7 linked regions of the Nothobranchius furzeri genome follow. The protein of the gene in region 7 purifies or fractionates together with the protein of the main gene of each other region. This does not show direct contact. Links are inferred from orthologs where the notes say so. Each region holds a gene or a part of one and is shown on either strand. Other genes may lie near its edges.

What was found.
Region 1: the proteins of ppp1caa (region 7) and ruvbl1 purify together in Homo sapiens (affinity purification with mass spectrometry; 4 studies listed by BioGRID and IntAct, counting the BioPlex papers as one, with this or other methods). This does not show direct contact. The link is inferred for Nothobranchius furzeri from reciprocal best matches to the Homo sapiens genes PPP1CA and RUVBL1.
Region 2: the proteins of ppp1caa (region 7) and cdc5l purify together in Homo sapiens (affinity purification with mass spectrometry; 3 studies listed by BioGRID and IntAct, with this or other methods). This does not show direct contact. The link is inferred for Nothobranchius furzeri from reciprocal best matches to the Homo sapiens genes PPP1CA and CDC5L.
Region 3: the proteins of ppp1caa (region 7) and uri1 purify together in Homo sapiens (affinity purification with mass spectrometry; 7 studies listed by BioGRID and IntAct, counting the BioPlex papers as one, with this or other methods). This does not show direct contact. The link is inferred for Nothobranchius furzeri from reciprocal best matches to the Homo sapiens genes PPP1CA and URI1.
Region 4: the proteins of ppp1caa (region 7) and gsk3ba purify together in Homo sapiens (affinity purification with mass spectrometry; 4 studies listed by BioGRID and IntAct, with this or other methods). This does not show direct contact. The link is inferred for Nothobranchius furzeri from reciprocal best matches to the Homo sapiens genes PPP1CA and GSK3B.
Region 5: the proteins of ppp1caa (region 7) and pfdn2 purify together in Homo sapiens (affinity purification with mass spectrometry; 3 studies listed by BioGRID and IntAct, with this or other methods). This does not show direct contact. The link is inferred for Nothobranchius furzeri from reciprocal best matches to the Homo sapiens genes PPP1CA and PFDN2.
Region 6: the proteins of ppp1caa (region 7) and kif18a purify together in Homo sapiens (affinity purification with mass spectrometry; 3 studies listed by BioGRID and IntAct, counting the BioPlex papers as one, with this or other methods). This does not show direct contact. The link is inferred for Nothobranchius furzeri from reciprocal best matches to the Homo sapiens genes PPP1CA and KIF18A.

The regions. Positions count from the first base shown.
Region 1 is NC_091743.1:48,436,484-48,439,669, forward strand, and holds the end of ruvbl1 (ruvB-like 1), read left to right. Parts: intron 1-1,364; coding exon 1,365-1,514; intron 1,515-1,591; coding exon 1,592-1,655; intron 1,656-1,726; coding exon 1,727-1,925; intron 1,926-1,999; coding exon 2,000-2,102; intron 2,103-2,176; coding exon 2,177-2,268; intron 2,269-2,383; coding exon 2,384-2,543; 3' UTR 2,544-2,686; downstream 2,687-3,186. UniProt on the Homo sapiens protein: Possesses single-stranded DNA-stimulated ATPase and ATP-dependent DNA helicase (3' to 5') activity; hexamerization is thought to be critical for ATP hydrolysis and adjacent subunits in the ring-like structure contribute to the ATPase activity.
Region 2 is NC_091752.1:40,109,975-40,113,474, reverse strand, and holds part of cdc5l (cell division cycle 5-like protein), read right to left. Parts: intron 2,867-3,500; coding exon 2,763-2,866; intron 2,406-2,762; coding exon 2,244-2,405; intron 2,136-2,243; coding exon 2,008-2,135; intron 1,848-2,007; coding exon 1,748-1,847; intron 1,642-1,747; coding exon 1,515-1,641; intron 1,409-1,514; coding exon 1,317-1,408; intron 1,240-1,316; coding exon 1,095-1,239; intron 1,005-1,094; coding exon 813-1,004; intron 636-812; coding exon 487-635; intron 1-486.
Region 3 is NC_091744.1:78,624,188-78,628,193, reverse strand, and holds the start of uri1 (unconventional prefoldin RPB5 interactor 1), read left to right. Parts: upstream 1-1,206; 5' UTR 1,207-1,490; coding exon 1,491-1,562; intron 1,563-2,261; coding exon 2,262-2,296; intron 2,297-4,006. UniProt on the Homo sapiens protein: Involved in gene transcription regulation. Acts as a transcriptional repressor in concert with the corepressor UXT to regulate androgen receptor (AR) transcription.
Region 4 is NC_091754.1:24,463,244-24,466,743, reverse strand, and holds part of gsk3ba (glycogen synthase kinase-3 beta), read right to left. Parts: intron 2,269-3,500; coding exon 2,075-2,268; intron 1-2,074. UniProt on the Homo sapiens protein: Constitutively active protein kinase that acts as a negative regulator in the hormonal control of glucose homeostasis, Wnt signaling and regulation of transcription factors and microtubules, by phosphorylating and inactivating glycogen synthase (GYS1 or GYS2), EIF2B, CTNNB1/beta-catenin, APC, AXIN1, DPYSL2/CRMP2, JUN, NFATC1/NFATC, MAPT/TAU and MACF1.
Region 5 is NC_091742.1:74,820,900-74,824,884, reverse strand, and holds pfdn2 (prefoldin subunit 2), read right to left. Parts: upstream 2,682-3,985; 5' UTR 2,460-2,681; coding exon 2,379-2,459; intron 1,535-2,378; coding exon 1,446-1,534; intron 1,328-1,445; coding exon 1,204-1,327; intron 976-1,203; coding exon 784-975; 3' UTR 501-783; downstream 1-500. UniProt on the Homo sapiens protein: Binds specifically to cytosolic chaperonin (c-CPN) and transfers target proteins to it. Binds to nascent polypeptide chain and promotes folding in an environment in which there are many competing pathways for nonnative proteins.
Region 6 is NC_091749.1:64,375,188-64,379,439, reverse strand, and holds the start of kif18a (kinesin-like protein KIF18A), read right to left. Parts: upstream 2,801-4,252; 5' UTR 2,675-2,800; intron 1,427-2,674; 5' UTR 1,397-1,426; coding exon 1,081-1,396; intron 1-1,080.
Region 7 is NC_091745.1:8,622,297-8,625,254, reverse strand, and holds the end of ppp1caa (protein phosphatase 1, catalytic subunit, alpha isozyme a), read left to right. Parts: intron 1-497; coding exon 498-728; intron 729-814; coding exon 815-919; intron 920-1,002; coding exon 1,003-1,226; intron 1,227-1,657; coding exon 1,658-1,792; intron 1,793-2,007; coding exon 2,008-2,124; 3' UTR 2,125-2,458; downstream 2,459-2,958. UniProt on the Homo sapiens protein: Protein phosphatase that associates with over 200 regulatory proteins to form highly specific holoenzymes which dephosphorylate hundreds of biological targets.

The sequences.
Region 1 (3,186 bases), on a different chromosome or scaffold from region 7:
AAACACTGTAATCTCACATTGAGGACTTCCTCCTTAAAGTAACACCAGGCAGTTTCCTGCTCCCTCGCTCTACTGGTTGAAAAGTCATAAACAACCCTGCTGCAGCTAGCGCTAACAATGAGCTAACACTAGCATGAGCCAACTAATGCTAAAATAAACCATAAAGTATAAAGATCCACACTGTTGGAGAAAAATATTATTACTTACAAGTCCAGTAACAACAGAGCCAGGTCACCATCATTCCGTGATCCTGTAGCTTCCTTTAGCTCCCTCAAACTAGCATAGGCCATGCCGATGTTCACTCTGGTTGTAGCTCATTGCTTCACCTTCAACGACATTACTCTCTTACTTTTACTTCCAGGCTCCACCATGATGCCAACAGAAAAAAACAAACTTCTTCTCTTCTTCTTGTACTTTTTATTGATGATCGGCGAACTGAAAATGCTAATCGCTAGCATTACAGCTAACAGCCATAAAGCAGGTAAAGAGCGCTCCCTAGGACACCTACCCGCTCCACAAAACTATCTAGTGTGGTTTCTGGTTAGCCGAGGGCAGCAGAGTGGTGTCTAATATGAAACTGGACAAGTTTCTAACTCAACAATCACTGAGATCAATGTTAAAGTTCTAGTTTCAAGTTTAATAAACTCGTTAGTGTTACTTTAAGTTGCCCACTTTTTAAAAATCAACCCTTTGCATAAAAGAGGCACTTTTTGATTTATTAAAAAGCATCACGTGATGCCTTCTCCCCACTACAGCACAGTAACAGAAGTCTATTACCCCACTGGTTTTTGCTGTAAAAAGTTGTGATTATTATTCTATTTCTTTTCTGTCCACAATGAGAACTAAAAGTAAAGTAATGGCAGGAAATACTTTGATCATCTCAGACAAAAAGATCATCATAAAAACTGAGTGTAAATAATCTAATTATTCCTATTAGATCAAACGTGAGGGTTTTTGACCTCTTCAGTCCTTCATGGTGGCATTCTGCTTTCATCCTTCTCCAGTTCTTCTGTTCTCTGGAATGAACGTCTCTCGTTCTCACAACGATTCATGCTCCGTTTATCTGTACATCTCCCGTCATGCAGCAGGGCTTGTGGCCCGTGTTGACAGGCCGTGACGACGAATCTTTTAATCGATGCAGGTGGGCCGAGGCGCTCAGGGCGGCTGTAGTCAGACGGCAGCGGAGGAGGGCTGGCTGACACATTTGTTACTGTTGACAGCGATCTGATGAGCTGCCTCCTCAGTCCCTTTCATCCTTCTGCAGAGAGCTGGCAGCAGGAGCACACGCCCGCTCGGCCTCCTGCCTTTTGTTTCACTGATGTGATGCGAGTTAAGATTTTTGGTTAATGAGGTTGTTTTTGCAGAGACAAGGCCGCTGTGACACGTTTGCAACAGAGTTTGACCTGGAAGCAGAAGAGTATGTTCCACTGCCTAAAGGAGACGTCCACAAGAAGAAGGAGATTGTCCAGGACGTCACGCTGCACGATCTGGATGTTGCGAACGCTCGGCCGCAGGTACATGGCTGCTCTAATATTATAACCTTAATAATAATGATAAGTAATATTAGAGTAATCACACTGTCTGGTCCCAGGGAGGTCAGGATATTCTCTCCATGATGGGACAGCTGATGAAGCCCAAAAAGACAGAGATCACAGGTAGGATGGCGAAATCGGACCGTTCACCTGAGCTGAACATCACGGCGTCTGACATTCGGTTCTGTCTCCAGACAAGCTCCGCACTGAGATCAACAAGGTAGTCAACCGCTACATAGACCAGGGCGTGGCTGAGCTGGTACCCGGGGTGTTGTTCGTGGACGAGGTGCACATGCTGGACATTGAGTGCTTCACGTATCTCCACCGCGCCCTGGAGAGCAGCATCGCCCCCATCGTTGTGTTTGCCTCCAACAGAGGGAACTGTTTGATCAGGTGAGACGGGTCAAAGGAGCGGATGTAAACGTGAACAACGGTTACAGATTATAATCTTTTTATTTCTTTACCAGGGGGACGGAGGACATCAGCTCTCCACACGGAATTCCTCTGGACCTGCTGGACAGAGTCATGATCATCCGTACCATGATGTACACGCCGCAGGAAATGAAGCAGGTGAGTCTGGGAGTCGCTGTTGGATTGGTGGCTTGTCATAAGCTCGGTGGCTCTAATCAGGCTGCTGTTGTCAGATTATTAAGATCCGAGCTCAGACGGAGGGGATCAACGTCAGCGAGGAGGCTCTGACACATCTGGCCGAGATCGGAACCAAGACTACCCTCAGGTACCTTCTTTGTTCTGGAGCTGGTCTAAATAACCGCCATGATGCACGTTTTTCAAATCTTAGAATCTTCTCCCAGTTTGTTTCTACTTTTATAATATTTCTCATTTGCTCCCAGGTACGCCGTCCAGCTGCTGACGCCAGCCAGCCTTCTGGGCCGCGTTCAGGGAAAAGAAACCGTGGAGAGGGAGCAGGTGGAGGAAATTAACGAGCTGTTCTACGACGCCAAGTCTTCAGCAAAAATCCTCCAAGACCAGCATCACAAGTTCATGAAATAAGATTTACCGACCCTTCCACAGATCGGGCGTGTTTCCGTTGAGTTCTTGTCACTGACCGTTGTAGTTCTGTTCAAATAAATGCTAAATTTTACTTTTTTTTTTTTTGTTCTTTAAATTTTTTGGAATAAAATCAAAAAAGCACATACTGTCTTGGTTTCTTTAATATGTCTCACATAAAACACTTGACACTTGTTGCGTGACCTGATTTTTTAAATTCTCACAATTATAACTAAATCTAAAAAGTTGTGAGATTACCGTTGTAGGGTTGGGCATCGATTGGAACCGGTGTAATCGCTCAACGTTTTTTTATTTCGATTCCTAGAATGCCGACGGAAGAGGAATCCGCGGCCGATCTCTGTGAAAAATAAACGTGATCTGCAAATTGTGATCAACGCTTTTCAGAGCTGATCACACCATCTGTGTGTGTGTCTGCCGAACTTTTACTCCGTAATGTAAACTTTAATTCCTGCAGCGTAGAGGAAACTTGTTAAATACGTCAACACGGTGGATTTCATAGAAGCTCTGTTCATAGAACAAACTGTGGACGGTGTGAGGTGAGTTTGTCTTACTGCAGAAATAAAAACACACATCAGCAGTCAGACACGTGAGCGTCAGAAGGCTGAACAATAACCTGTAGAATAAT
Region 2 (3,500 bases), on a different chromosome or scaffold from region 7:
TCTGTCTATACACCTTATAAGACAATTTAGGTGATGGCATGTTGTTTTTCTGCTACTGAACTGTTTTCTAATAATGTTGTGTTAAATAAAGTGAAGGAAGGAGAGAAATAACATTTCCCTAGCAGTTTTTAAAAATTTCCCCATGTAATCCGATTAATCGATTAATCGTGTCGAGACCCCATCCGATTAATCGATTATCCAAATAATCGTTTGTTGCAGCCCTATTTCCAACAGAAACTCAATTTGAACCAAGAGGGGTTATAACCAGTCTGCTGCACCAGAAGCTAAAGCAACATTAAAACAGGCTACTTAAGCCTTTCTGGTTTAATTACACGAGCAAAAGATTTATGAATCAGCTGATGTTTACAAAACACAAGCTTTGTTGTTTTGGCAAAGCTGGAAGAATAGTTTTAATGAACACATTTTTCTGTAACTAAAGTTAAAAGCTTTGATGCACCATAACAAGACAGGAGAGTGAGATCATACCTGAACGGTGTACTGAGAACAGTGTTTGGTGTTTGGACCTGCTGCCTCTGAGGCGTCACGCCGCTGAAGTCACTCTCGTGCAGCGGGGTGTTGAGACCCCCCTTCAGCGGCGTGTCTATGTTGGTCAGAGCCATCAGGTTCTGGGCTTCCTACAGAACAGAAGCACAAAAACACATGAATATAAACAGAGAAGAAAGCTTCTGCTTGGTTAATTTAAATGAGAGAAAATAAAAAATACAAGTAAATAAAGACCACAAAACAACTGATTTGTACAAAATACCAGAAAACTTAGATGAAGTGAGAAAGTCATTGTGTTTGTGGTCAACCTGCAGGATCCTGTCCTGTGCAGCAGGGGTGCGTGGGGTTCGTAGTCCAGTTGTCATGTTGTTGGTGATGCTGTACTCAGACAGGAGGGTGGAGGAAGCAGAGTTCCCACCTTCGCTTTCCTCAGCAGCCTGGCGGGCGACCTCACTTGCCACTCCCAGTTTCACGACCTCCTCTAACTCCGCATCACTGATCTGAAACCAGAGGAAGGACAGACAAACATCGCTGATCTGTTAGGACCAGATGCATCCGAGCTCAGACACTGCTGTGATCCTGGAGCATACCTGTGGGGCGGGTAACACCAGTTTGGAGCGCTTCTTGGTGAACTCTGCCACTCCGCTAGTCTGCAGGATAGCTGATGGCAGATCGCTCTCTTTCTTCTTCTTCATCTTCTGTTTATCTTTCTTTCGGTCCCTCTCCTCAGACTCGCTACATGTAAACAACTGATTAAGTGAGAACTCCAGATTCAGTTGATGCATAAAAGCAGAGTGTGTGTTGTTACTGACTTGCGTAGCTCCCCGTCCAAGTGCTGCTGCCTGAGTCGTTTAAAGTGTGGCTCCAGGGCATCGTACTGCTCCATGCTGGTGTCATAGAAACCCTAACAGGAAACAAAAATAATTTACAATCCAACTCACAGTCTGACGTTGGTGACACTGGGCTGTAGCTTAAATAATGAATGAATAAATATTAGCATCAATAGTTACTGGTGCAGGTTTCTTTTCAAAGGGGATTTCAGCATTGTAGTCCACTCCTCTCTTCTTCTTTCTCTTCTTCTGAACGTGGATTCCTGCTGCTCTCAGCTCTCTGCGTTTCTGCAGAGCAGCCAGGCGCCTGCAGCAGAATGAGAGTAAAACAAAGGACAAATATTTGTTTGTTATGCACTGATGGATTTCAGGGCTACCCCTGAATGGATGTTAATGGATGGAATTGGCCATACCTGGCTTCCTCCAGCTGTTTCTCTCTGGCCTTCCTCTTGGCTTTTTTGCCCTGCGTGTTGGCCAGACGAGCTCTGGCTTCTGACAACATCTCCAGCTCATCTACAAAGACAAAAACACAGTCGTGTGTATGTTTCTATTGCTGCTAATCGGACCCACTTATTAGCACAGAAACCAACGTTCCTAAAAGAGATGAGAGGAATAATGCTGCAGAACAAAAACTTATTTTGTGCTTGTGAAAGAATGAAGTGTGTGATTTCACCTTCATCCATGTCCACGGGGTCAGGTCTGGCAGGTTTAGTCTCAGGGTTTGGGTCGATCTCTCCTGGTTTCAGCTTCCTGGGATCATCTCCCACCTCTTCCTCGTTGTCTCTCTGTGCTGCTTTATCTCTAAATGAAGACAAAAGCACATCTGTCACCCTGACCTGTAAATTGCCATAAATGCAAAGTTCCTCTCTGGTAGCAAAGAGCAAATGAGTGTAAAAATTGAAACTGTACAGCAGGTATTCATAGTGCTCTAGACACTGGGCAGCAGTGCGCCCAATGATGGGAGCAATGGTCCTCCACTGAGTCGGCATCAGCTTGGCCAAGTGAAGCAACTTCTCCTCCTCTTCTCTGGACCACTCTGTTTTTTTGATACTGGGGTCCAACCACTCGTACCTGCAAACAGAAACACCGTCGACGAGTGATTCAGGTAGTCGGACTGAACACACCTACAACAGAAAAGTATGTTTATGTTTACTTATTTGGCAGACGCCTTTATCCAAAACGACGTACAACGTATAACCTATAGGGCATGTTGTGATGTGTGGGGGAACCGGAGTACCCGGAGGAAACCCACGCATGCATGATGAGAACATGCAACTCCACGCAAAAAGGTCACAGCCGAGTTTCGAACCTGCAACCTTCTTGCTGCGAGGCAACAGTGCTAACAACTGCATCACCATGCAGCCCAAAAAAGTAGTTAACCTTTGTAATGGTCGGTGTCGTGTCCCGGTAGAAAGGCTACAAACTCACCATCTGGCTTTACACTGTTTGGCAGATTTGCGGTGAAGCAGGGAGGCGATACGAGACCACTGGTTCTTCCCATATTTCATCACCGCTGCCTTGAGGATCTCATCCTGAAAAAATTAGGGTAAAAAAAGCAAACAGGCAGAAAGACAAAGTTAGAACTTACATATATTAAAACTAACAAATAATTAACATAAAACATAATAATCATATTAAAGTCATTAAGTTGACTCAGAGCTGCAGCTGTTAGCCTGCACCCACCCCCCAGAGTTCTGGACTTTCTCACGTGGGTCGGAGCATTATCCTCTGTTTCTGCAGTTTTTACTTGGATGACACAGTGAAGAAAACACAGAAAATGTTCGCTATATAAATGCAAGCTCGTGTGTTTTTCTGCTTAGTGTGTAATCTGTGATCAGAAACAGCAGAGACGTGTTCTGACTAGAGACTACTTTTAATCTGTATGGTTCATTTCCACGTAAAATCTAACATCAGCTAGCCTGGCAAGCCAGACTAAATAAATGTATTATTTAGTCTGGCCATGCTCCATTGACGGCTCTCGGTTGTGGGGCGGGTTCTACCGTTGTCTTTCAAATGATCTCCGCATTCCACTGGACAATGAATGTGACATACTCTTGTTTCACTCTGTTGCATCATCCCACCCACCAGGCATATCGAGTGCCCTGATTGGCCCACAAAGCGGATAAAGCTCTGTGATTTGTTCACTAAGCAGATAGAGCACTATGA
Region 3 (4,006 bases), on a different chromosome or scaffold from region 7:
GTACTGATACTTTTGACCCATAAGAGTAGAAATATGAGTTCTCATGATTAGAGGACTAGGACAGTTGGGGTCAGTTTCATTTCTAAAATTGTAAATAAGATTAAAATACATCTGCATGCAAATCCCTTCCCTGACCAAGGTCAATGGGGCTGAAACCTGTTTTTATTTGACTAGCCATGAAACAATAAAGTATTTCTACCATCTTCATTTTCCTGATGGCCTCAGACCTCTTTTTTCTTAAGCTATACCTGTATGCCTCAATAAAAGAACACCTGAGGTATTCACAATCTTTTTACATCCCATAAGCACACCATACATTTTTGCTGTTATTGTAGATGCTGCTTTTATAACCAGACACATTCATGAATGAATGTGTATTCTGATTGTACATTTCCATTTTAAATGTGTACACTTAATAAAAATGAAATAAAAACATAAATACAATAACAAGGTATTTTAATAAAATAAAATTATATATATGTGTGTGTGTGTGTGTGTGTGTGTGTGTGTGTGTGTGTGTGTGTGTGTGTGTGTGTGTGTGTGTGTGTGTGTGTGTGTGTTGAAGAATTTTCTGGTGTGAGACATTCATCTCAAAGTTTAGTGAGTAGTTTTATTTTTTCAAAGCTGTAAAGCTGGTAAAACTGCAAGTAGGAAGGGTGAGGTTCCCATTTTCCCATAAAAACACTAGCTGGTTTAAACTTTTCTAGTTTTATAGTGAGACGATGAGCTTATTGAATGTTTTGTGGTTTAAATGTAGCCCATCATATAAAAAATGAATTAAATATATCTGTATAAGAACAAACTCCATGGAATTATATTATATTATATTATATTATATTATATTATATTATATTATATTATATTATATTATATTATATTATTCCAACAGACCGCTTCTTGAGTGAGTCGTGGCAGATGGCTGCTGATACTGAGCCAGGATCCTCTGGAGGTGTCTTTCCACTGTTTTCTTCTCCACTGTCGCTGCATGCTTGCTTAGTATGAGGAATGATGTACGATGCAATTTGCTGGGTTCCTTATATAGGAAACTTTTTTCTGATTGGCTTAATGAATTGGAATGTTTATGATGTGAAGTGCCTTGAGACGACTCTTGTCGCTATTTAAATAAACTTGAATTGAAGTGTTTTATTTTGGAAATATTAACCGGAAGTCTGCCTGAAACTTCTTCCGTGTTGCTGTAGAGTGCATGGCGCAGCGAAAGTGACGAGGAGAATCTGCTAATCTTTGGGATACCGAAACCGTGGATTTATTTGGGAATAATGCAGAAATTCTGAAGTGAGTGTGTGAGATGAAATCACCTCCGAGAGTGTGGACAACCATCACTGCCCCTTTGATGAATACGTGCAGAACGGGTCTCAGGAATAGCGTCTGCTGGATTCATAAACACTTCTTTAGGACTCACAACAACCCCTGAGCTTTGTTTTTGTGGGTCACAAAACGCACAGATTGACCGTTTTGCATGTGAATTGACGATGACTGAAGGTGGGAAAATGAATTTGGAGCGTCTCGGTGGAGTTGCGAGGCTCCGACAGGAACACGAGAAGGTAAGTTTTGGTGTTTAGGTGGTGGGCAGAACCCGCGAGGCCAGCCGAGCCACGCGGTTGGATCATTTGGGAGTGTTTAAACCACGAGTGGGTCAGCTGAAGAGCTTATTTCTTCTGCGCACAGACGCCTCTGCACGACACTGGTTACGTCACATGTCTCATCTGTGTTTTTAGGTTACCTTTAGCTTCCTTCTAGAAGTTTCTTACGTTCAAATTTAAGCCTGGAGGTGTGTTTGGCTAATTTTGTTTACTTGCACACAAGTTTCACTTGTGTGGAAGTTTTAAGATTTTGCTTTGATTCATTTAGATTATTGTCTAATGCAAATCGGGAAGTCCTATGCCCCCTATAACAACTCAAAAGGTCACCGGAAGTTATTAGAGCTTGACTAAAACTAAAGTTCAGACGTGAGCCAGCTGTTTTGTTGAAGAGAAAGCAAAAGCTTAGCCTTTTATTTTGTTTTTGACAGTTTTTTTTGGGGGGGGGGGGGGGGGAGCATTTGTATTATTTAATAATACAATACTAATAATTATATACATTTAATTTCCCTTTGCCAACACAACTTTATTAACCTATTTATTACAATTGAGGGCGTTTATGAATTGAAAATTCCCAGTAGGAATAAATATATGTATTATCCTGACATCAGATTGTGTTGACCTGAATTTGTAAACAAACTAAAATGATCTGTCCTAAAACAGGTGGTGAAAGACTGTGAAAGTCGGATTCAGCACTGGTAAGCATCCAAAACTCACAAGAATGTCTCTAGAAAAGGTTTGGAATGGTTTTCTACTTTATTCTAATGTAATCCTGAACTATATTACACTGTGATTAAAGTATTTTTTGAAAATGTAATCTGAAAAGGTGTTTTTTCCCTTAACTTTGACACTTAATAGATTTGTGATTTTTTAACTTGTTTTTTGTTCTACCAATTAGATCACCATACACTTTGTTTAGAACAACCATATGACACCCTGATGGCCCAGTTTACTCATGAGATCACTAAACACTTAGAATTTAACAACTGAATGACATCTTGCTGGGCCAGTTTACCCATCAGATCACCATACACTTTTAAAAAACGTATGACACCCAGACTTGTATATTTTTTAAAGCTCTATTGTAGGAATGCAATGATACCACTTTTTTCCAAACCGATACGATACCGATACTTGGATCTGAGTACTCGCCGATGCCGATTACCAATACCGATACTTCTACCACACGAAAAAATGCAATGATTTGGAATACAGATTGTATTTTCTTCTCTGCTTTCAACAGGAGACGACTGTGAGGTAGATAAAAAGTAAAATATATGAATGGAAATCATCACAAAACTAAAATATTAGGTGAACAGAAATGACAAGTTACAGGGAAGCCATTTTCAAGCAACTGCATTGGTATCGGTTCCTGGTATCAGTTAACTTTTACCGATACGATACTGGTACTGGTATCGATACCAGTATCATATCTGTGCATCCCTACTTTATTGTCTAATTTTATTTTTATTTTTTTTAGAGATAAAAGGTGGTAAAATAAAAATAAAAAATTGTGATACACATTTATCAGTCTGTTGGTGTGGATGGTAAAACATGAACACAACTGGAAATAAACTGCAAAACACCAGTGAATGTGCAGCCACTCAGTTATCATTAAAAATATAAATGACTCACTTTTTCTCATACTTTGCTGTCTGTATGCTGAACTGACGGCTGCTAAAGTTAAAGTCAAGTTAAAGTCCCATTAGTTGTCACACACACTGATGTGACCCATCCCCTGGGGGAGCAGTGAGCTGCAGACACAGCTGCGCTCGGGAACCATTTGGTGGTTGAAACCCCCAATCCAACTCCTTAATGCTGAGTGTCAAGCAGGGAGGCATTGGGTCCCATTTTTTTCTAAGTCTTTGGTATGACCCGACCAGGAATCGAACCCTGATCTCCCAGTCTCAGGGTGGACATTCTACCACTAGGCCACTGAGCTGGCTCAGAATGCAGAGGAGGTTTAGATGATCGTGCATAAACTGCATTCATGCTGCTCTGATATGTATGGTGTTCTGTCCGAACACCAGTCCCCAGTACTCCTTAAAGTCCACCAGTTGGTTTTAAGGTTTGGTGTGAATCAGGTTTTAGTTAAAGTTAGTTAGGAATAGATCTGCATTGGTTATCATTACTGTGCAGGTATGGGTTAGGCGTAATGCAGTCACAAAAATGAATGGAAGTCAATGGAAGCCCTCACGAACAAAGAAAGACAAACATGCATTTGTGCTTCTACTGGGGACAACAGCTCTCCAAAATAACTTGAGAAGGATGCTGAGAAGTGATTGAATCCTGGACTTAATGAAAGGACCAGAAGAGTGTGTGTGTGTGTGTGTGTGTGTGTGTGTGTGTGTGTGTGTGTGTGTGTGTGTGTGTGTGTGCACGTCAAGACAGTAGAGCTCTTTACTCAA
Region 4 (3,500 bases), on a different chromosome or scaffold from region 7:
CAATATGGCGCCGTTTCGATTTGAACTGTTGCATGCCGGGAGAAGTGACGTTAACTCCCGGAGCTCTATAGGGTTTATTACTCAAGTAAGGGTAAAAAAAGTAACTGAGTAGAAGGCTACTTGAGTACGGAGTATCATCTGATCTAATATTTTTAAAATGATGACATCAAACAGACAAAAAATAAGAAGTTATGGGCAAATATTGGTATTTTAAAGACTAAAGGGGAAAAATGTAAACAAATAAACAACATAATTATAAAATAACAAATTTTAGGCAAAATTTAGACACAAACTGAGGACAATATTTTCCTGATATACAGGGTTTATTTAGTTGTCTGAAAATGTAACACGTTTAAAAAAAATACCGCGATAATACCGAAAACCGTGATAATTTTGGTCACAATAACCGTGAAGTTAAATTTTCATACCGTGACAACCCTACAGTAGAGCAGCATTGCTGTTAGCCAATCAGAGGTGAGATGTCTGGATATCAGTAAGACTCCAAATCCTTTCATCTTCTGCTGCCCTCTGCTCTGGCTACCTTTGACTTCCTGAAACAGGAGCGCCAGAGCTTTATCCCTATAGAGATCGACTCATTTATAGTAGAAAACACTGCAGACACACTGAAAAAACAAGTGAACCTTGTCTTTATTAAAACTTTCAGTATGCAATAAATGATTATGCTTTATTGCAATTGCAAAAGGATGACTAACAAAAATAGGCATACCTCAAGTCTATTTCCATTCATATTTAGTTTCATTTCAAAATCCATAGTCATTCCAGAAGCATACTCTAAATACTAAACTGATGTTTTTAAGATTTGACAGAAGTGTCTACAAAAACTATTTTAATTTCATAAAGCAGGCTTGACGGTGGTCTTGGTGTGATGACTTTAAAATACCAGACGGAAACTGTTTCTTACATCAAGTTTCCAATGAAAACGGTCATGCTGTTCTTTGATGATGTAAAGAGTTTTACTAAAGAGACCCTGTCGAGAGGAAAATGTGCTCTATTACAATCACCACAAAATAATTTTCATCATTGCCTAGAAAGTACTTTATCAGCTGAATCTATTCAGAACTCTAGGTAGATGATACTTGAGATGGACAGAAATAGCTTTTTGTATTTAGAATAAAATGATTCTAATAAAAAACTTCAAAAACCCTCAAAACTGTTGGATGCAAAAACCAAAGCAGCTTAAACAACCTTAGAATAACTAATAGTTTTTGCAAGGTTCCAGAGTTTACTTTTGAATGAAAATGTTGATTAACTAGATATTTTTCCAGGCTGCAGGTTTAGGCTCTGCTGAATTACAGAAATGACAACAAAACAACTTCCTTATGGTTACTGCAGGGCTTTTGTATTAGATGGTATTAATCATAGTTGATGTGTGTCTGATATAACAGTGCAGATGCCCAAAAGGTTGACCCATTTAAATCTATAACTGGTTGCAGGAGACATATGCAAGTAATCTGCAATTTTAGCATTTATTGCACACAGCAAATATTTGTAAGCATAGCCTGGGCTCCTTGTCACGTCATAGTTCCAGAACAATTAAAACCAGTATCACCCTCTAATTGGAGACTTATGTCCATGTAAACACGCTCATGCAGGCGCTAAGCCAAGAGTTGTTCAGCAAAGAAACATCAACTCATCAGTCAAATCTGTTGATAGCACAGGAGTAGGATGACAGCAGCAGGGTCCAACTTGGAGAGATAAATAACGTATCCTAGGTGTCACCTGAATTAAACCTGATGAAAGCATTAATACGCTCTAATTTATTTGTAAAAAGGAAGTTAGGGGCCTCCGTTTATGAATACACACACATACATACTCTTTCATGTAGGGTCGTGTTGAATGCACATTTTCATTTGTTTTCTTTCGTTCCCCAGCTTTTCTGATCTCCCTGTTCGTGAGATAGATCGCTCCAGTTACATCTCACTCAGTTACTCAGTTACATCCATTACTGAGGTTAATTTCTTTCATGGTTGGTTACGTTGTTTGAAAAGGTGATGAAAATGAAGCCATTTGAGTGTATATTAGTGAACGCACATGTCTTTCACGCATCTATTACCTTAAATCTCTTGTCTTGTAGGACCTTTTTGATCGCCACTAGTTCTCCGGAGTCGCAGAGCTTAGCTTGGTAGACGACACCGAACGACCCGTTGCCGATGACCTTGGTGTCCGTGTAGCTCACCTCCTGTGGCCGGTCGGGGCCTTGGCCTGGGGTGGCCACGACTGTCGTTACCTTGCTGCCATCTTTGTCTCCTACAGATAAAACCACATTTACAGGTGTTCATAACAAAATGTTTGGAGAGAATATACAATTAAAAAACAATGACAGAAATATTGTTTGTAGAAGTTTGGGACACCTCTACAAATAATTGTAAAGGTTCTAGAAGTTCAACCCAAACCATTCTTGATCTGCAGGGTTAAAGCAGTACACCACATAAACACATACCCAGTTGGTCAACCTCGGTCTATGACATCACAATATATCATTAGACCTTCTGGGAATGCCTTTCCTTCCACTTCCTTGCAGGGAGAGTCAAGGTCCAAAGTCCACATTAGCTGGCAGTTAAAGGGACAAGCTGTACAGTATGTGCAGCTATGCAATCACTAAAGGCTTAAAATAATCAGGCTACTGAATTATGAGGACATAAAAAGATAAGAGGTCTGAGAAAAAAACAGGGTTTCTTTCCCCAGAATGTCTATAACTCAAGACAGATTCTGTATCATCATTAACAGAGTGTGCATTTGTGTGCAAAAGAAAGAAAGATCTGCCTACGTACTCCAGCACTGCAATTTCTATAACGCCTCTGCACTTCCTCAAACCGTGAGAAACGTCTGTGTGCACACGTAGACAAACATACAGCTCAGCGTGAGCTCACTTACTGGTGCAAATAAGTGATGACAAGAGCAATTTGGCTGGATTTTAAATACTTGTTTCTTTCTTTTTCAGTATTTTCAGACATGGACAGGAAAGGACTTGCCTATTTTTAATCATCCTGCAAATGCTTGAAGTGTTGCCACAGTTGCAACAGAAAGATCCATATATGGCGAATAAAAAAACTAGAGTAACACAACAGAGTGCTGCAACTTTGAGCCAAAGGCATCAATAGTCAATTAGGGTCACTGGGTTAGCCAAGGCCACAACTGAAACTGGCTGACACACAAAGGGGACAAACAACATAAAATAAATATTTATGCTGAGGATCATCATCACAAACAATACAGAAAATAAGAGCACAGTGGATGCCCAAAATTCACTTTAAATTAATGTGAGTACAATATTTTAGATTCTAACGGCAAAGATCTAATCTGATTTTAAGTTTTGGAACTGAGTCCCAATCAAACTCTTTTGTTATTGATCAAAACGGAGTATCATGAGTACACCAGGTTTATGAGCTAACACTTTCTGACAACTGCTCTTCTTTAAAGGGGTTCTAGAATTTTAATCCATATTTACCTTGTTGTTGAATATAGGCAGACTGTGGTGT
Region 5 (3,985 bases), on a different chromosome or scaffold from region 7:
TTCTAGAATGGTTCGTTTGAAATAAGTCTGAAAACACGTTTCAGAGACTGGCTTTTACTTTGAAAGCGTTCATAAGCACTATTTCCGTAAAGCTTTGGAAGTGTGTGCAGTGTAAAAACCGAGTGAGAGCTCACTGTACTGTCGAGTTGAGGCAGGCTCTGCCGCAATGACATAATCTGGTGAGCATGAGAAACCTCTTCCTTTTCTCCATTTTTCCTTTTGTGTACTGGCTCCTGTTCATGAGTCACGTTTAATTATTTGTTGTTTTTCAGTCCTTTACATCCTTTTCGCAAAAATGTACATCATTTTTAAAGCTTTGTGCGTTTTCAAAGCTGACATACCAATAAATTTCGATTGTGTATGCTTAATGACAATGCAAAAGGATCTAATTCTGACATTAACTTTTTTTTAATGTCTTTAAAAATTTCATCCCAGTGCAACAGGATTTATATGCTAGATGAGAAAGATAAATGTTTTTACTTATGTCAGCAACTTCAAAATCCTTTTTATGGCATTTTAATTTATTTGCTGAATGTATGACAGCATTTTAAAAAACATCTGCAAGGCAAATGACCTTAATGAGGACATAAACAACTGAACAGAGAAGCAGATGACCATGATTATTACAACTTCCAGGAAATTACAGTTAAACAAGAAAACTAAAAGGAACATTATGAAAAGTTCAGTTTTCCACCTAAATTCCTTGACTTGAGCTAGTTTTCATTTCTTCTTCAGTGCTGCAGAAATAACAGGGCACTGCTGTCCCTGTCCATCCTCAAAGCATTATGAGACCAGAACTCCTGCTCCACTTTTGGATCCTCCTCCTTCATTGTCTTGCGAGTTTGCTGCCGACTGGCCCTGCGCCTCTCCTTCACCCTCTCCAACCAGCCGGATATTGTAACGTTCTCTGTACTCTGTGAGCTCCTGTCCTTTTGCCTGCATCTGTGTGTTGATGGTCTCGATTATTTTGGAAATCTATTAGAACAGAGGAAGATGGATGAGAAATCAGACAAACGAAACATCCTGCAGTTGACACCTAAACGTTTATTTTTGACTTCAAAACCTATAAACAAAACTCTTTCTTGTGAAATTATGTAGATTAACTCGATGTACACTTATTGTTATTTTGGTGTTAAATAAGTGATTTAAAATGTCTCAGTTTATTCTCCTGATCATTCCTGTGACCGAAATAAATAACATTACCTTTTCTTTGTTGTTTTCTAAGGCTGGTAGAACTTCTTTTACTGTCCTTTCCACCAACACTCCTCCAACCAGACGAAAGCATTTCCTGGAAGGATCCACTTCCTTTAGGGTCTCAATTACTAAACTAAATATGAAAAGAAATAGCAAAGGTATTAAACGGTCTGTCTTTTGGATTGTTTCCCCTACAAAATCTTGTGAAACATTTGTGTCTAGAACATAAATGTAGATGATGCTCCACCAACCTGTGCTCGTTGACATCCATCTCCAGCTCAGCAGCTTTCGAAGCCATACTACGCTGCTCCTGACGCATCCTCTGAAATGTTGCTACCACCTGAAAACAAATGGAATTTGATCATTTTTTTATTAAGTATAATAAATAAATAAAAAACAGATGCTGCTACTCCTTAGTTGTCTACTGAAACCAAACTCTTAAAGTCATAACTGGTAATTAGCATATTACAATTTTGTTTAAAAGATTATTAAATAAATGTACATAATGCAGCAACTCATTAATGGTAAAGGTTTAATTTTATTATCAGATTTAATCTACAACTTTTTAGAAGTAGTGGACATAAACTTTGTTTATTTGATGGTTTTAATCACCATTTACGCAGAGTCATAGACTTTATATGTAAGAAAATAACAAAAAGGTTATGATACAATATGGCAATATTTACATTTTATTATTATTTTTGTAAAACCTGATCAATAAAGGTTTTGACACATATTTGAAGGTATTGCTCGACTCTAATGTTGCCATTATTGTTGTTAAAGGATATATTACGGACTACAGTGCACTGTATTACAGACATTACAGCAGTGATTTGTTTAATATGGTCTGAGTAATAATTTATTAGGGTTAGGTGGACAAAAATAGCTTTATGCTTAGTCACACCAAACCAAACACATTATTTCAAAACCGTAAATACATAGACTAACGTAAAAATTGTTAGAAGTAAGAGTTTGATGTAAACTCTCATAATGTCCTTATTAGACTCCTAACGGTTCCCGATGTCCAAATTTGGGTTTTGAGCCAGATGATCGCGACAGGAATGCTAATGTTAGCTTAGACTAGCTAGGGGCTATACTTTTAGTTCTGCTTTACCAAACTGAGCCAAACAACAACAGAAATAATTGTAACGACAAATGAAACCTTTTTATATAATTGAGAGTACCTGTTCAGCTGAAAGTCCGGACTGTTTTCCGCCGGCGCTGCTGCTGGACTTGCTACCCGTGCTGCTACCGTTCGCTGCCATCTTGGAAGGGTGTTGCCAATTAGGACCCTGCAGCTATCTAATGAGATTGCCTGAGTGCAAATGCGGCTTGTAAAACATCTAAATTACTTTGCAACCATCTTTTACTTTTTCATGTAAAAACTCAGAAGCAGAACCGCAAACAAAATACAACTTAATTCAACATAAAATAAAATGGCATTTGAAGGAATAATTTCTATTAACTTCCATCAACTTTGTATTGTTTTTGTTTTTTCGTGCATACGCTTTTTTATTTTATGTTTATGTTTATTTATTTGGCAGAGGCTTTTATCCAAAGTGACTTGCAATTTATAACGTATGGGGCATGTTTTGATCTGTGGGGGAAACAGGAGTACCCGGAGGAAACCCACGCATGAATGGGGAGAACACGCAACACGCAGAAAGGCCGCAGCCGAGTTTCGAACCTGCAACCTTCGTGCTGCGAGGCAACAGTGCTAACAACTGCGCCACCATGCAGCCCATTTTCCGAATCTAGCTTATTTATTAAAGCAGTTTCTGCATCGTGGAGTTTTAGACGTGTTTTTTCTCTTTCAAATATTCTTTATTTCAGCCAAAGGACATATTAATCATTAAATTAATTAATTTGCACACCGCCAAGACAAGACAAGACAGCTTTATTTGTATAGCACATTTCCTATACAAAGGTAACTTAATGTGCTTTACAGCAGCCTATAGGTAACATCAAAAGCAAAACAAAAATGAACAAAAATAACAAAAGTTTTCATGTTAGACAATAATCAGAAGCACACCGTACATAAATTAAAATCAATAATTAAAAACAAATGAAGAAATACATGTAAATTTTTAATACAAAAATACACTTAAATGCATTTATCGACATTTTTTTATTTTTATAATTCAAACGCTGTAAAGGACTGCTGAAAGCGGATTAACCTCATACAGACCTCTAGATTTTTATTTGCTCTGGGGTTTTCAGAAGATTGAACACATTAAATGTGTTGTTTGAATTTGTTTTCAAAAGCAACAATGCATGGTTTAGTGCACCTGAACTTAAATTTATTAATGTAAAACTTTGCCATAATAATCAGAATGATTACGAAAAGAGTTGTAATTGAGAAACACACAATATTATTGTCAATATGTCTTCAAAGTTGACTGAAATGCGACGTATACGTGCTGTTTATATCTTATTAGTGAACTAGACCAAACGTTTGCTTTGCAAAATAATATATTTATTCAGTCTGGTTTAAGGGTATTTTTGATAGTTATTTATAAACCTGTGTTATATTTGAATGATTATGATGCATTTATAATACTTTAAAAACAATTTTAGGAGTATAAAAACATTGCCAACTCAAAAACTATTCCACATCCTAAAACAATGGACTTTTCATTACATTTAAAGTTTTATTTTATTTTATTTATTTATTTTTGTTTTTTTGTTATTACCACATATTGTTATAAAAAGTCTCCAGTAGGTGGCAGTAGGGTGCTATATGTACATTTCTGGTCATTTTTTGCATCGCAGAGAAGAAGGGGCTGCTCGC
Region 6 (4,252 bases), on a different chromosome or scaffold from region 7:
ATAAAGAAATCTGTGCAAACAATAATAAGTGAACACTAACGTAGGAAGAATCCTAACTAGGAAATTGGAGAAAAATCATGCAATCTGCAAAAATCATAAATGAATAACAGAAAACTGCTAATTTAATATTCCAATTTAGATTATTGTTTGTACATAATATAAATGGATAAATCCAGGGCATCTGCAGGTTGATGGGAGCCAAATTTAAGACTTTAAGACCTTTTTTAAGGCCATTTTGACCAAATTTAAGCTTTTTTTTTTTAAATTAATTTCTGCTATAATTTCCAGCTAATGCCTGGGACCGGTGCTAACCATGTCGCAAACGTGGGATTAATCATCCAGTTACCATTAAACTTGCACTTCTCCACGGCACAAGCTCCCACTAGCTTAACCAGCTAATGTGCTCATCTAAAAATAGCCCCCTTTCACAACCAACTGAATATGTACGGTTCCGCTTACGCCAACATCATACACAAAAAATGCTGAAGACTAACTAGAAATTCACAAAAATGAATAAAATAATCTAGTTTATTGGGTCTTTGGTAATTTAAGACCTTTGGAAACTGTATTTAAGGATTATTTGTAATTTTTAAGGATTTTCAAGGCCTTAAATTTGGAAAAGTAAATTTAAGACTTTTTAAGACTTAAGGACCCGCGGATACCCTGAAATCAACCCTTGTCTGAGCATTAGGCAGATAAAACAACGCCTTTAGTATTTTAAGGAGGGGATAATTTATACTGGTGGCAATTATGTTAAGGAAATCACAACTTTATTCAGGAGAAACTTTACAATTATAATAACAGCAGGGATTAAAAGTTAGCTTTTATTTATTAAACATGTGGAAACCTTGAGACATTTTAAAAAGGACATAAATATAAAAATGTTTATAATTGTATCCATAAATGTTTTAATTTATCTTTAGTTGTAAGAGCTAAAATAGAGTATTTTGGTCTTCCTAATACAGAAAGTCTACAGTTGCTTTTTAAAAGATCATTACTAAAGCTATGCACTGAGTGACAAAAAATATGCAACTACATAAAGCAGCAACAATCTGTAAACTCAATGATGTCATATTTTACCTGTGCAGTTGAATCCGTTCATCACACTGTCCAACACACCTTTGGTGGTGCTCTCAAAAACATCCACTTGAGTGGAGTTTTCATCAAAGACATGGTCGAAAACAAATTTTAAATCTTTGTTAGCCCTCTTGTTGACGTTTCTGTTACGCACTCTTTGTGACCCAAAACACGTTAAGTCCTCTTCTTTGGGGTCAAATATTAGCATGTGGTTGTCGACAACTTGGACCACATTTCGACAGTTTTCAAGTCTCTCGCTCTCGTTGGTTGGTCTCACCCGAACCACCACCTTTACATGGCTACAAACATCATTTGACATTGTGGTTCCTCGGCAGTGATCCAAGTGTTGCTGTAACAAAATAAAATGTTACTTCACTAAGCAGAAACACTTCCAAATTTGCCCGTAGCAATCATTTGATTATATGACTAACGCTGACCATGGATTCTAACTGCAAAGTCAAAAACCCTATATATATATATATATATGTATATGTGTGTGTGTGTGTGTGTAAATAAATAATACCTGAAAGAGGCAATCTGCAACAAACAGGTCACAAAGCCACCAATACGCCTGATATTTATAGAACACAAGGACTATAAAGAATCCCAATCATTTATACAAAATATAAGTGTATTAAAGTGTTTAACTTAGTGACAAAGTATTATTTATTGCACGTATAATAATCAGCATTAAATTATTTCAAAGGTGAAACAATGAGGATACAATGTATGCATGCTATTGACATTTACTGAGGTCAGAATAAATGCACTGTGCATTACTGATCTACTTTGGTCAAAACAGAAAAAGCATAATAGTTGATTTAATTTTTCTAAATTACTGTCTCACTTGGTTATTAGTTTTATGTTTTTACACAAAAAAGAATTTTAAGCTGCTAGAGAATTAAACACAAACTAACGCCACTAATATTTTATTAATTGGCTAAATTTACTTTGCAAGATTGCTGCTTTGTTCCCATTCATTTAAGCTAAACTCATTAATAAGTTGAAGCAAAACACAACCCAAATGTGAAGTGAACATCGTTCAAAATAATCGTGATAAATATTATTCTCATTAAAGGAGCTCCTTGTGAAATTGTAAATTGACTAAGGTATATTTGTTTTCTGTAATACACTCCAATACTCAAATCTATTGTTTGATTTATTGCTAGCAGTATATTTTTTCCTTAGAATATCCCATGTTGTTTTGTGTTATTGGTGTAGTTTAATGCAACTTTAATACTCTTTAAACGACAAATAATTGTCTTGTATAAAACGTAGACGACTGTCTGGTTCGGTGGTTCCCTTTCCGGGCCGGTGTGCCATTTAAAAACGTTAAAACACATTAAATGTTACTTTATATATGAGAACATAAAGTTGCAAAACGTGCTAATGGTTGGTGTTATTATCCATTAAGTAACATTTGTCAATACTAACGTACAAGCAAATTAGCGAAGCACACGCTTGCATAGGACACACATAAAAACGTTAACCAGAGGAGCGTCATATGCTAACTAGCCAGCTAGCTGTCATTCCCAACGGTACGTTCACATTGTTTGTCTCTATCTCAAATGCACTGCGGGTGAAAATGTTGTCTTACCGTTTGTAGCTAACAGTTAACGCTCATTTCACAGTACTGTTTTGTTGCTAATTAAAGCGGCACCTCGTATTAAAATAATCAACTTGCTAACAATGCGCAGCTGTTAATCGCTATCACCACCAGCGCCAATATTTTTAAACAGCAGCTCGCTTCCTGTCTGGCAGCGGATTGGCTGACAAAAAAACCTGGGCGGATCGCAGAGACGCAAGGGCGACGCAAGACGCTTTTGAGGGCGGAGCCTATCAGTGGTCTACTACTACGGTAAGCTTCAGTGTGAGATGTGTGAGGTAATAGCACGTTTCTAATTCAGTAAACACCATCGTTGTGAATCAAGTAGTTTAAAATGTTCAAGTGAACCGTTTCATCCATTTTGGTTACCTGCTGACTTTTTTGTGCACGTGTAGTTGCGCGATAATTCATTGTGGTAGCATAGCAACTAATTCTACTGCACGGAGCTCCCCTGGTCTTAAAAGAGCCTTTCGTGCATTCAGCACACACCAGATTGTTAAAGAAAAAGCTAGATATGTTTCAGGTTCCATACATTTCAGGTATGACGAACCCCTGTAACTATTACCATTTACAAACACCTGTTAGCTTAATGCGGCCACCTCTGTGGAGTGGACAGCATCCCAGAAGCCCTGCCTTTTTGTTGTTTGCTGTTTAAAAGTGTAAACATACACGATGACACGTGTGTGGGGAAACCAAACCTTGCCTGACAGGGTTGTGTTGTGAATTTGGCCTCTCTAAACCCAGTTTGAAGGATAGCGCAACATTAGCATTAATAGCCTTTAACAGGCTCTCCTAAGACATAACTCCCTAATAAATATCATTATGGGTTTAATTCAGGAATGTTCGAATTGTTTTCTGAGGGAGACTTTAGAGATGATTTGTGCTGTCCCAAATTGTATTTCTAGTCTGCTCTGGGTTTTCCCTCCAGCAGGCTGCCAAAACAAATAAAAAGAAAACAATTTTTGCATTTAAAGAATAAAACATAAATCTAATTTTGTGGCCCACAAAGATAATTTTGGTCCTCCTCTTAAAAAGTTGGGTCACCCTTGGTTTGATATATTTTGTTTTTAATAAGATAAAGTATACATTTATATTTAGTTTAATTGTTATACTACTTTTTTCTCTATCTGTACTTTGTTTCTTATTCATGTTGATGTTTTATTGGAGCAGTATGTGATAGATCAGAATTCATAGCCCATGTAAAAGGAAAATTATTCACAGAAACTGTACCCAGTCAGATAAGTAACCAACAAAAAGCAGTTCCCCTCACAAAGTTTCAACCAAATTTAATTTAGAGGGCAATAAATGGCCTTGAGGCGGAGACTTGCTCATTATTCATGTTATAACAAAATTCGCCTTTTTTACATGTTGAATTTTAAGATGACTATTTCCTTATTTACCTGGTCCAGTCAAATTCTAGAACAGGTTTAATGTAACCCCAAAAGCAGTAATAATATCTTCATGGCATCATAACATTGCGGTTCTTTATTCTTGGTGTCAATAAAATACTTACAATAATATCATGACTAATGTCTTTGAAACTTTCATTGAAAAGTAACCTTTAGCGGA
Region 7 (2,958 bases):
TCCTGGGTTTACACAATGGCTGCCTTTTGTTTGGGTTTCAGCATATTACACATCCTACCATTTGTCATAGTATTTGTCACCTAAAGTCCTCTGGAGCAACTCGAAGCCCAAACTCTGCTTGATCAGACAACCACAATGTAGGTTATCACACCCAAAGTTCACAGCTAATCTGGCGACAAGGACAAGTTCGTCTTGCACAACACGTCCATTAATGACCTTATTATTAAAGCTTTAAAATAGTTTTATTGTGTGAACTTCATCAGCTTTTCTTTTCATAATTGTCTAAATAGCAAGTCGATCAATTACAATACAAAAACCAAAAGAATATTTTAGGGAGATTATATCACTAAGACTCTAAATTATCTTTTTCTATTAATAAAAGGAATGAGAGTTTCAGAATTGGTACGGTCCACTTAAAGGCTGGCTAGTTAAAAATAGGATTCTTCCTCATAAATGACAGTAACGCTGACATGGTGTTTCTTTGCTGCCCCCTGCAGGTGATGTCCATGGTCAGTACTATGATCTCCTCCGGCTCTTTGAATACGGAGGCTTCCCTCCTGAAAGCAACTACCTGTTCCTGGGGGACTACGTGGACAGAGGGAAGCAGTCCCTGGAGACCATCTGTCTGCTTCTAGCTTATAAGATCAAATACCCAGAGAACTTTTTCCTGCTGCGTGGCAATCACGAGTGCGCCTCTATTAATCGAATCTATGGTTTTTATGATGAGTGTAAGTGCAAAAGATGTCTGTGAATAATGAACAAGTCAGAGTTGGTTGTACAAATGCTGCAAATGTTTCTTTTTCTTTGCTGGTAGGTAAGCGACGGTATAACATAAAGCTGTGGAAGACCTTCACAGACTGCTTCAACTGTTTACCTGTGGCTGCCATTGTAGATGAGAAAATCTTCTGCTGTCACGGAGGTAGAGCTAGTGAACGTGTGCTTTACGGATGATGAAATATGAACGACTAACAAAACCTGATGTTCTCTCTGCGTCGTCTTTAGGCCTCTCTCCGGACCTCCAGTCCATGGAGCAGATCCGCAGAGTAATGCGACCCACAGACGTGCCTGACCAGGGTTTGTTGTGTGACCTGCTGTGGGCAGATCCAGACAAAGACGTCCTGGGTTGGGGCGAAAACGACCGTGGCGTCTCCTTCACATTCGGAGCAGATGTGGTGGCCAAATTTTTGCACAAACATGACATGGACCTAATATGCAGGGCGCACCAGGTGATGTTTGAGTGGTTTTGTGTAACTCGCCAGGAAAGCTCTGCTCCTGTTAACTTTGATCTCTGCTTGTTGTGGGGGTGTTATTGGGACATGAGTCAACACGCTGTGATATTGCGTCATCTATGTAAATTTAATCCTTTGAGGACTCTAGTGGCTTCTTCATTCTTCTAGCACTGATTCATTCGGACTTGAGTCACTTTTATGTTCCTCGTGTTTTTACTGGGATGCACCCTTCACAGGGGCACACAAAGGTTACGTACGGTAGTTCCTAATTTAGCTCAAGTACAACTGTAATGTAAGAACTGCAACTCAAACATTTCACAAACGTGTCGGGGAGGAAAATCTTTTTCCCTGATTATGTTTAATCGTTCTCACCTGGACCTGAGAAACCCTACTAGTCTTTGTTCTGACACTTTTATTTCTGTGCTAAGGTCGTGGAAGATGGTTATGAGTTTTTCGCAAAGAGGCAACTCGTCACTCTGTTCTCAGCGCCCAACTACTGTGGAGAGTTTGACAATGCTGGTGCCATGATGAGTGTGGACGAGACGCTCATGTGCTCCTTTCAGGTGGGTAAACACACGGCCTGTTTGTTACTGCTCCATGTAGCTTAGCTGAGTGATCTTCGTATCATTTGTGTGTGTGTGTGTGTGTGTGTTTCCTAGCTCCTTGTCAAACGGATGTTTAACATATTGAACTTGACAAATATTCAAATTGGGACTTTAAATTAGAAGAAATTGTGTTTGCCATTTTAATGTGGATCATTCCTTCATCTGTCTTGCAGATTCTGAAGCCAGCAGATAAGAAATTGTATTCTTTCGGAGGAGGAGGAGGAGTGGGATTAGGAAGACCGGTCACTCCTCCAAGAAATTCAGCCAAGGCCGCTAAGGCCAAGAAATAACACCTGCTGAGTTCCCTTCCTACAACCTTTTCACCCTCTGTTGGCCCAACTTTCTTTTTCTTTTTCTACCTCCTAATCTTGTTTCTCTTAGTTACCGAATGGCAACAAAGACGACCAGTGTCCAATGTTCATTCGTGTGTTATATATATTTTGTTTGTTTCTAAAACAAAGTTCAAACGTTTATCTGGTTATTTACGTGTGTGTGTGAGAGGGAGATGTGAGAACGACACAAAGGGAGTTGCTGTATTCTGTACGTTTTATTTCCCTTCCTCTTGGTCTTTCTGTTGGTTGCAGAGACGGGTTTGTCCCACTCATCATGTAAATCCTAGCCTGGCTGCAGGGGTGGGAGAGCACAGCGCTGACTGATTATGTTAAGGCCAGGCACTGTTCAGCATTACTTTCATGCTTTTGTAAATCATGTTTCACGTATTCATTTATGTCTTTGATGGGTGTGTGTGTGTGTGTGTGTGTGTGGGGAGATCATAGATCAGGTTGCACAGCTGGAAGGTAACGGCACAGGTGGATCTATAGAAGTGCAGGTTAATGCTCGAGTTTGATGAATTCACAATAAGATGACTTATTTTTTTTTCCTTCTTCCAACTTGAAAATCGTTTGAGATGACATGGATGTGATGTAGAGTTGCTCTTTTCTTCAACCTAATTTTTGTTTTATTTTTGTAGATAACTGAAATGAGTATGGTTTTATTTTCCTCTTTCTTTTTTTTAGTTTATTTGAAGCTGAAGATGAATAAAAAGTAACCATTTATTTGAATACGCCATCATGCTTATCACTTTGTTATATCTGTCGCTCAGTGGTTGGTTTCTGTTGTGGTTT